4 linked regions of the Danio rerio genome follow. The protein of the gene in region 4 interacts with the protein of the main gene of each other region in a biochemical or structural test. Links are inferred from orthologs where the notes say so. Each region holds a gene or a part of one and is shown on either strand. Other genes may lie near its edges.

What was found. The genes of interacting proteins can lie anywhere in the genome.
Region 1: the proteins of htt (region 4) and sh3gl3a form a complex in vitro, tested with the Homo sapiens proteins (2 studies listed by BioGRID and IntAct, with this or other methods). The link is inferred for Danio rerio from reciprocal best matches to the Homo sapiens genes HTT and SH3GL3.
Region 2: the proteins of htt (region 4) and hip1 form a complex in vitro, tested with the Homo sapiens proteins (2 studies listed by BioGRID). The link is inferred for Danio rerio from reciprocal best matches to the Homo sapiens genes HTT and HIP1.
Region 3: the proteins of htt (region 4) and prpf40a form a complex in vitro, tested with the Homo sapiens proteins (2 studies listed by BioGRID and IntAct, with this or other methods). The link is inferred for Danio rerio from reciprocal best matches to the Homo sapiens genes HTT and PRPF40A.

The regions. Positions count from the first base shown.
Region 1 is NC_133182.1:12,829,425-12,832,946, reverse strand, and holds part of sh3gl3a (endophilin-A3a), read left to right. Parts: intron 1-867; coding exon 868-936; intron 937-1,035; coding exon 1,036-1,108; intron 1,109-3,522. UniProt on the Homo sapiens protein: Implicated in endocytosis. May recruit other proteins to membranes with high curvature.
Region 2 is NC_133190.1:19,379,289-19,382,810, reverse strand, and holds part of hip1 (huntingtin-interacting protein 1), read left to right. Parts: intron 1-617; coding exon 618-725; intron 726-3,362; coding exon 3,363-3,499; intron 3,500-3,522. UniProt on the Homo sapiens protein: Plays a role in clathrin-mediated endocytosis and trafficking. Involved in regulating AMPA receptor trafficking in the central nervous system in an NMDA-dependent manner. Regulates presynaptic nerve terminal activity.
Region 3 is NC_133184.1:4,717,594-4,721,115, forward strand, and holds part of prpf40a (pre-mRNA-processing factor 40 homolog A), read left to right. Parts: intron 1-1,289; coding exon 1,290-1,427; intron 1,428-3,376; coding exon 3,377-3,472; intron 3,473-3,522.
Region 4 is NC_133176.1:44,454,640-44,458,161, reverse strand, and holds part of htt (huntingtin), read left to right. Parts: intron 1-885; coding exon 886-1,006; intron 1,007-1,120; coding exon 1,121-1,180; intron 1,181-1,508; coding exon 1,509-1,588; intron 1,589-2,996; coding exon 2,997-3,135; intron 3,136-3,522.

The sequences.
Region 1 (3,522 bases), on a different chromosome or scaffold from region 4:
TTACAAAAGTTAATTACAGATGTAATTACAAACATGTATTTAATCAAACAAAAGTACACAGTAAAAACATGTATTTACACAATAAGTACATTGTAGCAAACTATTAATTCCTATGTAAGTACATATTAGTTAAGGCTACTTAATATAAAGTGGGACCTAATATAATATAATATAATATATTATAATATAATATAAAATTATATAAAATTATATATAAAATAATTAAAAATAATATAATATAATGTAATGTAATGTAATATACAATGATATAAAATAACATGATATAAAATAATTAAAAATAATATAATATAATATAATATAATATAATATAATATAATATAATATAATATAATATAATATAAAATAATTAAAAATAATATAATATAATATAAAATGATATAAAATAATATGATATAAAATAAAAAAAAATAATATAATATAATATAATATAAAATGATATAAAATAATATGATATAAAATAATAAAAAATAATATAATATAATATAAACTAGAAACTCGACACAGAGACACATTAACACCTCACTGCCAACTAGCGTTTTGAAAGTGTTAATGCAGACCAACAGACAGCGAGCAGAAGTATAAATGCACAGCTACGCGTGTTGCATGCGCCGTTGGTTACGCCGGTCACTTGACGCAGAAGTATAAACCAGGCTTTACACAAAAGCTAAATTTGGATCTGTGATGTCGGGTATCGTTTCTTCACTGTAAGCCACAATAGAAGCTCATTATTGATTTATTTTTTCTTCCGACCACTGTATTGTGTGCACAGGAAAACATTGCCTAATATCACTGCTTCCTGTCCCTGATCTAATATCTCCATCTCTCTCTCTCTTTCTCTCTATGTAGTTATTAAGTGAGAAGATCAGTGGTGCGGAAGGGACGAAACTCGATGAAGACTTCATGGAAATGGAGCGGGTGAGAACTGCACAAATGATCCCCTCTTTCTTAATGTGATTTACAGTATGTGAGAAGCATATTTACCATTATCCACATGATCTTTTCCCACCTTTACAGAAAATAGAAGTCACCAACAAGTCTGTTTTTGAACTCATAACTAAAACCACAGAATATCTCCAACCAAACCCAGGTATGAATCACAACATCAGCATTCACTTTGCACTAACAATGCATTTACAGTGTGAACACCATCCGGTTTTACGAATTTCTACAACAAACAAGCGCATGTCCCACAACATTCTGTCACTCGATGACACCTGAATACCCTGTCAGAAAAGTGTAGTGGCTGGGAATGACCCTTTTACAGTGTCTGGTATAATGTTAATATTGTTTTTGGTGCGTTTACATAGATGAATATGACCACAGTGTAAATACACAGTACAGTTACGAGCTTATTGCCACCTTTATATCGTTATGATAACATGATATCGTTGCCTTCAGTGATTCTCTGAAGATAAATACCAAAAAATAACTCAACTGGAATAACAACAGCAGTCATGATCATCAATCTCATATGAAGCTACAGATCGCGAGGACATATGATGACGTGCGGAGGTGTTGTGGTGTCCCATTTCTTCACACAAGGGCCAAGGGGAAGGGGTAAGGGGTACAAAAATAGAATTGGGATTGGGCCTTACAAAACATGTCAACTTCGACACTTTTTAAAAACTTTCTTAACAGCAAAAGCTGTTGGAGTAAAGATCAATTTCCCACAATGCATTTCAAAAGCTTCAAAAAACGAAGAAAAGGAAAACATAAATCTCAAAATACAGAAAACTATTAATTTGTGTATATTTTTTACAAATTAAGGGACGATGTTTATCGAAAGCATTCGGAGGTGCACCGCTCTGCCTCTTTTTGTTGACAAGAAAAAAATAAGTGTGCTGCGAATTTAATGTTGCTAGGCAACCACTGAATCAGCTGCGTATTGTGCGCGGGCGCTGCTGCTGGTATTGTAATATATTAAAAATATTGTGATATTCACGATTTGTGAAGTCATACAGCTCCGGATAACTCGAAACATCGGCCACTAGTCTCTTGTCCATCTATAAAAGTCTTCGTTGTCGACTTGACAACACAAACAATATGCAATAAATGATCAGCAGAAACCCGCCTCTGCTTTCATTTGATTGGACAATGAAAAAAGACATGACTGACTAATGGGAAAAACGCACGCAACAGCAAGCAACTGGTTTAAAAACTATTGAAAAATCATTATTTATTATTATTATTTTTTTGTATTTTGAATTTTGATTTCTAAAGTGCATATTAAAAGCTCCTAAAATCAATAAAGACAATATATATATATATATATATATATATATATATATATATATATATATATATATATATATATATATATATATATATATATATAATCACATATATATATATATAAAAATGTTCAAAAATCATTGCAAAAAGCATGTTTGGTGTGATTAAAACCTAAATGTAGTTGTGTTTTTTTCACATTGCCTGAAAATGGCTTTAATAATACGAAAAAAAAATCATTAGTCATCAAATGCAATGTTAAACACATTATACGGCATGATCTTTGCATGTTTTTATTTGACTTTGCTTGCTTTTTAACGTGTTTTTGGTTTGAATTTAATCAACAGTGGTGTTTTGTTGTTAGCTAATGTAATGATTGTGTCCATTTCCACCAGCTTGACCCATTCGGCCTGATGTGTGGACCTGTTTGAACATGACTGTAGCTTATTATCTTATTAAACTGATTATATTGCTCAACGAGAACACAGCCTCCTCCTGAAACTTGATCACTGTGTTGCACAACATTGCTTTATGCTTGCATCAGAGGTTTGCAATATGGTCAAACATGATATAGTAACAATTAGGGCTGCACAATACATCGTTTCACTATTGACGTCGCAATGTGCTCATCTGCAATAGTCACACGTTTTGATTTGTATATATAGTTGGTTTTAGCACCACAGAGCACATCATTTGTGGAGTTACTACAAAGGTTTAATCATATTAGAGTTTATCGTTCGCATGGATTGTTGTAAGACATTTGATCTCTGTTGAACACAAAAGAAGAGATAAAAACTCGTAATCATTGACTTTCATTGAAGAAAAAAAACAAATACTGTGGAGTCAGTTTCCAAACGTTTCCAGGTGTCTTCAAAATATCTTCTTATGTGTTCAACAGAAATAAAGAAACTCATAAATGTTTGAAACAAGGGCAAGTAAAAGATGATTTATATCAGGGGTGTCCAAACTCTGTCATGGAGGGCCATTGTCCTGCATAGTTTAGCTCCAACTTGCCTCAACACACCAGCCATGATGTTTGTAGTATATCTTGTAAGAGCTTGATTCGCTGGTTCAGGTGTGTTTGATTAGGGTTGGAGCTAAACTCTCCAGGACACCGGCCCTCCAGGACCGAGTTTGGACACCCCTGATTTATAAATATATAAGTGAACTATTTATGTTGACTGTCTGTCTATTTAACATACAGTGGGTATTAATGTGCATAAAAGTTGAAAATTAACGTTAAAGTGTCAAGTAAAATTGTAATTTCATGTT
Region 2 (3,522 bases), on a different chromosome or scaffold from region 4:
TGGCACAAAAAGTAATCTAATTTAAGGTGGTGTCATTTAATAATAGCTTAAAAGCTTTTTTTTCCCAGTAAAAGACACTTTACCAAAACACAGACAATTTTTGTAAAAAAAGAAAAAAGCTGTAAACTGCTAACCAAAGCATTTTAGGCCTTAGTATTGTTTAAATGATAATTTTACACTCAGTCTGAGCAAAGTGTATCATGAAACAAACGTTCTGAATCAGTAAGTGGTCCTAAACAGTCTGGCTGTTGTCTGAGCTCCTATGCTGGTAAGGGTGTGCAATACATATAGTGACACATATATGATGTGTTATTTTGCAATGTTACGCCACTGACTGTTGGGAAAAATAGTTAACACATCTGAAAAATTGAACAATCCACACAGTTTTGAAAACAGCCATGCTATCATCAACTACTGAAAACTTTCCTACTCCCTGTTTTTGCTTTGTATTTAGCTCAAAAATATACAACTAAATCCTTTACCAGTAAAGCCCTGAGCACCATGAATGCATTCAGACTTCGTTTCATCACTTTTGTTGACACTTAATTCCTCAATTGAGATGAGAAACGCTCATATGATCCTGTTGTAACACTGATTTTCCTGTCTGTGTGTAACAGATGTGTCTGGACTGGTGCGGGCAGTGACTCAGTTTGCTCACCTGGTGGGCGATGTCATCGTGCAGGGCAGCGCCACCTCCCACATGGTGCCAGTGGAGCAAGCTGACGGTGAGCATGACACATTTATCATTTCAACACCTTCCTATTCAGGTTTACATCATGTAATCACATCAAAATGCAAAACGAATGCATATTTATATGCAAATGCTTTATCGAAAATATATAAAGGGCAGTATCTGCCTAGCTCATGTTAATCTCGAGTACCTATAGAGTAGAACTGCATCATTCATATCTTTGACGAGTCTTTCATTGAGCAATATTTGCAAAAATTACAGCATCACATGTCTATGTGGGATTTACTGTAATCATTTGCTTGGTCGTAAACGACGAAGTCTCCTTTCATGATGTCATCGTATATTTTTCTGCATTTGTCCATTGTAAAACATCTACATGTGGGTAGTCCAGTGCAATGTCAATTTAAGTAGTAAACATTTGGTGGTCAGCTAAACAAAAATATTTAAACACACATCGTGGGATTATGCCTGAGTAACGTTTGGTCAACTTTACAGTATGTTTGTGTTGTTTATAAAGCTGTGGTGAAAAATAGTTTTGAGAAATCGAATTTGGGTTGGCGCCAATAGCTTAGAGGTACTGTGTTCTGACATACAGTATATAGCAGAGTGCTCATGCCGGTGACCCTAGTTTGATTCCCAGCTCAAGGTCCTTTGCCGATCCTTCCCCTCTCTGCTCCCAATGCTTTCCTGTCTGAAATCTCCCCTATTCTATATCATAGTAATGGTAAAAACTTAGCGATTTTTTTTTTGGACCTGTACTTAGTTTTTAACAGCAGATGGCTTTCTAGGCTAGTTTTTTAATTATAACATTAATCATACACTGAAATTCTCATGAAAAGCTCTCAGAAAGTTGTTTTTTTATGTCAGGTGTTAACGTAAACAGCTAACTTCAAACACACTTGTAATTCACTTGAACCAAAAATAATTATTCATTAAGTTAGCAAAGGTTTAAGTGGTATTTGTAAGGAACTGAATGCAAGCTGAGTATGGTTGTTCGTAAAGCATACAGCAGCATCTGCTATTAAAAAATAAGCTCAGAATCCATTCAAGCTAGAAAAACTGTGTAATTTGCTGTTAAGTGTCTAAAGTACTGAAAAGTGTCGTCAACACTTTTCTAAACACATAATAGTTTTAATAACTATCTCTAATAACTGATTTATTTTATCTTTCTAATAACTGATTTATTTTATTATAACATTACTAATAACTGATTTATTTTATCTTTACCATGATGACTGACTGTACATATTATTTTACTATATATTTTTCAAGACACTTCGATACAGCTTAAAGGAACATTTAAAGGCTTAAGTAGGTTTGTTAGGTTACCTAGGTAAAATGGAGTTTACTTTCATTCTCTCATTCACAGTGAAATAGGGGCTTCTGCTGTAAGTGTCAGTGGAAGAATGTCCAGCAAACACACATGCAGTGAAATTGTGCACAGTTTCTGCGTTTTTAAGAAGTTGGAGCATTTTAAATACTCGCGCTTGCCTCCCTCGCCATAGTAAGCTACGGCGACATGGCGCATATGAGATAAATGATGTTCATAAATGATGTACATAATAACCAGTTATGATCATTACTGAACCATACCAAATTGTCCTTATCTGCATCACACCAAAGACACAATTATTTTGACACCCCAAGTATTTACCATGGTATGTATTTTTCTGTCATTTCAAAATTTATTTTTACTTTGTGATAGTCTTTTAATCAATATGTTAATGGGAAAGTATGTGTGTGTGTGTGTCCAACATTTTGGTGAATTACATTTGTTTGAGTTTGTTATAAATTTGAAAATGATCACTTTTGCGATGACAAGGCTCCATTTCAATAGCTCAAGATGCCATCTGGCGGTAAGGGTAAATGATTAGCAGCAGTTTTCCATCCCATTGGATCTCATTTTTTAAATAATCAGTCCAGGAGGTGGCGCCGATCAACAGCAGTATCAGTTCAAAAGTGTTCAAAGCAAGTAAAGTAGATTAAAACTATCGTTTCAAAGCGATCATTACGCATCAAGCATCCTCCTTACGCATACACGCAAAGCATAATGGGAAATTTTGCGTTCTAAGAAAAAGGTCTATTGGCTTGCTCTAGTAATCTGACGAATTAACTCACCTCTCAGATCTAAAGACAACACTCATGACAAAACTGCTGAGTTTGTCAGTTTTTGGGGTCTCCCAACACATTTCTATTGTGGTCTGTACTATTTGCAGCATGTTTCTGTATTTGCATGTGTTGTGAGAATTTGTGTAGGTCTATTATCAAAATGATACTTGTAGCACATTTGAGCTATGTCAACTACCCTTTTGATATAAGTAGCATAATTGCACTCACTAAAATTAAAATGCTAAATATTTTAAAACCGCACTGTATTATCACGTAGAGACGTCCAAGAAACTGACTTTGTTTAAGTTGCTCTCCATACATCACAAGGGTCATTCCAATCATTGTGGTTCTGTTAATAACTGGCCGCCGGGGGTCTGGGGGTTTGGTTTCAAGTTGCTTTTAAAGAGCATGGCATAACTCAAAGCGACTAATGTGCTGTGCCCACGTGCACAATGCAATCATGTCATTCATTGCAGCAAATGTGTCTGTTGGAGCGTATGTGGAGTGTCTGCAGGTGACAGATGGCTAGTCTGACTGCTTTCTGCTTTTTGTCTGTGGGCAGCATTGGCAGACAGCGTGAAGGCGTGTGGCGCAGAGGCCCTGACGCTGCTCTGCCAGCTCAAGGAGCAGGAGTCTATGGGGGCGGCAGACTGTAGTCGGCTGAGGACGGCACTAGATTCTGTCAAGGCCTTGGGCGAGGTGAGAGTCAGTCTGGGTTTTAG
Region 3 (3,522 bases), on a different chromosome or scaffold from region 4:
TTTTCATTGGTGATCCGTTTGTCAATGCTATAAGCCTAAAAACCAACAAAAATAGTAATTCAATTTATATTCAAGACTCAAATATACAAGCATTCAAAGATTTATACGATAAATAACTAATGTTTGAGTTAATTGAATTTACAATTGAGTTAAATGTTAAACATTCTCTGATGTAACACTAGTGGTGTAACATTCCACTGATGATTTCAGATTTGAGTTTCTGTACACCTGTACAAAACATACTGTCAATGTTATCTGACAATAGCAAAGCTTTAATATGATGTATCATTTGTAATTCAGAAATGTAAATATTTTCTTAATGTCCTCATGTTGTTTCAAACCTAAGATTTTCTTTTTTCCAAACCCAAATATATAAATATTTTTTATGATACCTGAGTGATTTCTGTCTCTCCATTTAATGTCCTTTTTCCTAAAACAGCCAAAAATCCAATTGGTAGGTTCTTTGTAATTTGTATCAAATTGTGGCTTCTTAACTACTTGACGGCATTTGAAAAGCACATATTTTGCCCCTTTTACAAGATGTAAGATAAGACGTTGTGCCTCCAGAATGTGTCTGTAAAGTTTCAGCTCAAAATACCCATCAGATTATTTATCATGTACTGTAGCATCTGCCCATTTTAGTGTCTGAGGACAATAGAGCAGTTTTTTTGTAGCCTTTAACTGCAAATGAGCTGCTTCTCCCCGCCCACCGCTCCGATGTGCATGTCTGCTTTTCATGCGTTACGTCAGATAAACGGCAGTCAGTGACAGAGACAGACACTGATGAAGCTGAAATGAGGTTACTAGTCAAAAATACCAAATAAGTTTATTTGATGTATTTGTGGTGGAGCTTATTCAAGCCTTTCTGAAATGATGAGTCACACACAAATGCTGTTTTCATTACACACACAAACACATGCGCCGTGTGGCCGTGGTGATTATAGCAGTGGTGTATAGCAGCGAAGTGGTTACATGGCGATTTTACTCTATTTTTACTTTATTTTACTCAATTTTACTTTATTACAAACATGTAGTTTTACAAATCTTTTAAACTTAAAAAACTAATTGTTAATCCCAGTTTCCTTGCAAAAAAATTGTCTTGTTTACAGAAATAGTAAGTCAAAATAAAGTGAGTTTTTCTTTTAAAACAAGTAAAATAATCTTCCTCTGGGGTAAGCGAAATAAACTTGTCTTCTCTTAGGAGTAAGCTTATTTTACTTAGCCCATGACATCAGCCACGTTTAATGTATACGTATAACGTATAACTTTTGATGTGTTTGTGTTTTCAGTTGCTCGAGAAGGCTGAAGCACGAGAGCGGGAGAGAGAAAAAGAGGAGGCCAGAAAGATGAAGAGGAAGGAAGCGGCGTTTAAGAGCATGTTAAAACAGGCCACACCCCCTCTAGAGCCCGAGGCCACGTGGGAGGGAGTATGTCACACTTTACATTACTATACAACAGTTTCATACAGGGGTGCACATAAGATAAGATGCGCAGCTAGAGAAGTACTTTTCTGTACCCGATTTCATAAATTTCACAGATTTTTCCAAATTTTCGGCTGCTGAGAATTATCATCTAATAAGGGCATTTATGGGTTCCTGTTGAAAAATAAAAATATGAGTAAAATTCAGTGACCATTTTCAGAGAAAAATACTAGATGTAGAAAGCAAAGTAGCTTAGTATTTGGCTCTGTAGATCTCACAGCCGCATGATAACATGTCATCACTGTAATTGTTCTTCAGTGTGTAACAGCAGCACTATGTTTGTCATTTGGTATCATGATTGCCTTAGTTGTTTACTATTGCGTCATATTACACACCCTGCCATTCAAACTGAACCGCTCCATGTCAGGTAAAGTAACTTACAAAGAAGAGCTGCCTCTCTTGTCTTTCACTGTTCAGCAGCAGAAGTGCAAAAACATATCAACAGGGATTGTTTTCCCTTAGCTTGAAACGACCACTAGCATAGTTAACCGACAGCAAGAATGGTGACAGACATCATGGTTAGAATGTAATTGAGATCATTATTGATTGTATTAAAAATATGCGTGAGTAAAGAATTCTACTAAATAGTCATGATTAAATTGTCAGCAAATGTTTTTTGTTTAGATATATCAATAAATATCTAAATAACAGTATCTCTAAATAACAATACAAATCTTAAAGCAGTAAAATTATAACCAAAAAAAGTTGAAGTCCGTGGAAAATTAAACCTTTTCCTGGTGATGTTGCAGTTTGGGGAATACTATTAATTTAATAATGTATTTTTTTTTTTTTTACAATTTAAAATGTTGAAAACTTTTATTTGAGTTTATTTTTTAAATCTGTACAAAAAAAAAAAAAAAACAGTAATTGGTCTTGACAAGACACACTTAACTTAATACAAGAAATTGAAATCGGCCAAGAAAATTGTAAAAAAAAAAGTAATAATTAATTATAACAGCATTTTCTTTTTCGAGTGCATCAGGAATTTTTATTTTTGGCTCAATTTTAATTTTGGTGCATACTTATTTAATTTTGCTGCGATTCAAATTGCGCAGCTCATAGCACTGTATGTAGACTCTTATTTGGAAGAAGAATGTAAAATAAAGTTGGTCTCTGTGGGCATGGATGGAGTTGCTGCGCTTGCAACAACATGTGTATCATGATATGTGTTCCTATCACACCAAATGACGGATGTGAGCTGCTGTTTATCATGTATGGATCGTCTCGCCTTCCACACTGCCCACCACAGGGACTCTAAATTGCCAGTGCCCTATGCACTCTGTCACCCTTTTCACTAGGGCTGCACAATAAATCGCTTCAGCATTGATATATCTATGTGCACATCTGCATTAGTAACATTGCAAGATATGCAATGTTGAGTTTGAATTATAATACCAGGAGCTACAGAATTGTATTTAATTACTGTATTTACAAGCAACTTATACTATTTCTGCAAAAAAAAAAAAAAAGTCTTGTTTCTTGTCCAAATATCTACATTTCAAAGCGAAAAACAAATATATTTTACTTGCTTCATTGGTAGATATTCGATTCAATATTTTTACTGCTCTAATTTTTTTTAATATTTGGATTAGAAACGAGACAAAGCAAAGTTTGCATTGTGATTATTTAATTTCTGTTCCTAAATATTGTTAGACATCTCAGAAAACTGTCCAATAAAGCTCTTGTGAAGCTATTTATATCGCAGTATTTATTGCAGAAAAATAAAATATCACCCATCCTTTTCAGTTTAGTAGTGACACCCTAAGCAACATCTCCTGGTACTTTGATAACTGGACCAAACAAAGTGATGTGCACCCCTGGTTATGAGCTCAACTTGATCCTTTGGCCTATTAGTATTGCTCTGCTAATGATGTGTGTGTATTATGCTGGGTCAGGTACGAGAGCGCTTCCTAAAAGAGCCTGCTTTTGAAGACATCACGCTGGAGTCCGAGAGGAAGAGAATATTCAAAGACTTCATGCATGTTCTAGAGGTATGAATGTTATATGTTTAAAATACTTGGGATGGGTCAAATTATTATTT
Region 4 (3,522 bases):
TTATCGTGAAAAAATATCGCTTTAAGGGGCTAATAGTTTAGTCCCTAAAATGGTGTTTACAAAAATTAAAACTGCTTTTATTCTAGCTGAAATAAAACAAATAAGACTTTCTCCAGAAGAAAAAATATTATCAGACATACTGTGAAAATGACCTTGCTCTGTTCAACATCATTTGAAAAAAACAATGTTTAAAAAAGAAGAAAACAGTTTGAAGGGGGCTAATTATTCTGACTTCAACTGTATAAACTACAAACAAATCTAGATAAATAATGAAAAAGCCAGTAACATTTCTTTTAGTTTTATTTCTTCTTGAAATTCTTGATTACGTCCTGAATACACATAGAGAAGATAGATCCAGTTTATGGTGATCTTGATGGGTTTGTTTTTATTAGTCTTAGTCTTTTTGGCATAACTGTCCATGCAGCCCTGCCACATCCTTGTTTTTCAAGTAGCATTTCCTTTTTCTGCCGCAGCTTGTATCTTGTAGCTGTCAGTTTTTGATTGAGGGTAATTGGGGTGATTGTAACAGATGTACTAGATGTACTAGACCAGGGACGAGGGTTGCAAATTAGCTTTATGCTATATTCCCTATGTACACAACATCGGTTGACTTTGTAAAACAATGTCAAGTGTATTGTCTCTGTTAAATAAACAAGCAAAAAAAAAAATGAACAGAGGAAAAGACCACAAACAGATGAATATTCTTTCCCTATTTTCTCCAATTATATTCTGGATCTCTGGGCCTAGAAAAATAGCTGATTTTAAATTGCTAAACATACTGTAATGTATTTATTTTGACTCACTGTTCATTTCGAAGCTGTGACCAATAATTTTAGCCTTCTAGTGTTGTTAGCTATGTATTTAATTACACTGATTTGTTATCAGGACGTCTCCAGAGTTCCAGAAACTTCTTGGAATTGCCATGGAAATGTTCTTGCTGTGCAGCGATGACAAAGAGTCTGACGTCAGGATGGTGGCCGATGAGTGCCTCAACAAAATCATCAAAGTAACTCATTTGTAGTTTACATATCTGACATATATTCAATTGGATGATGATTGTAGTGGTGTTTTTTTTTTGTTTTGTTCAATGGTAATATAATTTCTTTGTTTATCTTTGCAGGCATTGATGGATTCCAACTTGCCTAGACTACAACTTGAACTGTATAAAGAGATTAAAAAGGTAAATCAGACTCAATAAACTTTTTGTAATGAATGTTTAATTTATTAGGAGTTCTTTTGTAAATGCATGTCAGTGTACTGAACTGGAGTTCTAGGATTACGTTGTGTGGCTGATTTATATTTAAGTTACATTTTTGTTGCACTTTTGTTGTTAATTTGCGATTTATCTGCAACAATATTTGATTATTTGATTGGTTTGATTATTGTTTTTGTTTTTAGTAAAATTTTTTGGGGGAAATGCTATAAACTTCACAGGCACATGAGTCTTGTGCTCTTTAAGTAAATGTACAGCTCACTAATGGATCACTTTACTGTGTGTGTGGTAACAGAACGCTGCCTCTCGGAGTCTGCGGGCAGCCCTGTGGAGGTTTGCAGAGCTTGCTCACCTGGTGCGTCCACAGAAATGCAGGTATGCTCAACTTTTGGTCACTTACTTCTAGTAGACTGGTCAGGACCCAATTATTGTGGAACATTGTGGGAACAATCATAGGACTAGCTCAAAACAAAGGAATGTAGTTTACTGCAAACGTGGAATTTGCCAAATTAAAGATAAATAAATTGAAAGTAGGGCTTCACTCTTAAATTGCAGTCTTGACTAGTGCTTGTTACTTTTAAATTTACTATGATCTTCTATGTGAAACTGCTTTGACACAATTTACATTGTGAAAGCGCTATACAAACAAAGGTGAATTGAATTGAATTGCATTGAATTTAAACAATGAAAAGACTTTTTAAATTTGATGTTGCAGAACAGAGTTCATTCCATAAGTATTTCATATTTTAATTTGAGAACGCATGACGTATATAAACAGAAACTGTTATTTTCAGAGTGTCAAAATAAAGGTTTGGTTTGGAGGTATTTTGGTTTTGGACTATTGTTCTGTTGAACGCACCCATTCATTCAAAGTAATTACAACAAAAAATGTTCAGAGATTTTATAGACTTAAAGGGATAGGTCACCCAAAACTGATTATTCTGTCATCATTTACTCACTTTTTTCTTGTTCCAAACCTGTTTGAGTTTCTTTCACCTGACAAACACAAATTAAATTTTTTGAAGAATGCTAAAACCTGTAACCATTGACTTCCACAGTAAGTAAACTAAGTAAACTATTCCCTACTATTTTCATATTTTCTAGATAAAATATTATATTTTGTGTTCAATGAACACTTGAGGAACATTAGATAGGGAATATATGTTCATTTTTGGGTGAACTGTCTCTTTATGTGTATTTTGTTTAACACAAAAAAAAAGCTGCAATTTATTTTTTACTTTTTCCATTAAAATGGAAATAAACCAAATTTTGTACTAGTATATGAATTTAAATACATATTTAGATTAAAGTTGAATTCCATTTGTATGTAATATTGTGGTGTTTATTCTACATGATTTATCTATGCACTTGATTATGTTTTTAAATATTAATGTGTCTTTATAATGTCTACCTTTCATGTGCCATTGGTCTTGTTGTCTGTCTTTATCTTGGTCATAGCAGGTAAATAGTTTGGTTTAAATAAATTTTCCTTCAATTGAACTCTTAAATTTTTAGCAACATAGGGCTCAAATAAAAATAAATAATAAAATAAAGCATGTGAAGGTGCCAGAGGTAAGTCGCTTTAGAGTAAACTGAGTATATTCAAATCTGCCTCAATTCTGCTGTATTTCCATTGATCAAGTCAGTTCCTGAAGAACATCACTATAGCGAAGAAAAAATCATTGCAACTTCTGTTTCATGCTGATCTTAAGCTGTGACATGCTTTTGATTGTAAAGATAAGCAAACACAATAAATCCTAACCCTCATTGTCACCTTTCCCAGGCCGTACCTTGTGAACCTGCTACCATGTTTGACACGAATCACAAAACGTCAAGAAGAGACTGTGCAGGAAACTCTCTCTTCTTCAATTCCTAAAATCATGGCTGCCCTCGGACACTTTGCCAATGATGGAGAGATTAAGGTATGAGCTGAAAAAGTAGCATTTCCCAAGGTTATCATGTGTTTACTTTATTTTAAATTTGGTCAAAGTAAAACATTTCAGAAGACCACATCAGGCGATTTGCAATAAAATGTACCTTGATTCAAAAGTCATTAGTCATTCTGGATGGCCTTATGTATTTGACATGAAAATAAGATTGCCTTGCTACTGAATTCTGTGATTTGGCACCTGAGTGAGGGATTTCCCTCACCGTTATCTTGACTGTCTGATCTGAAGCCGTAAATGCGCAGTGGTGACATCATCTCCTCAATATGGAACATGACTCACTCAGGCTGGATTTAATTATCCATGAGCCTCTTCTCCCTCGCATCAAGAGACGGAAAGAGTCTGTATTCTTGCCAAGAACAC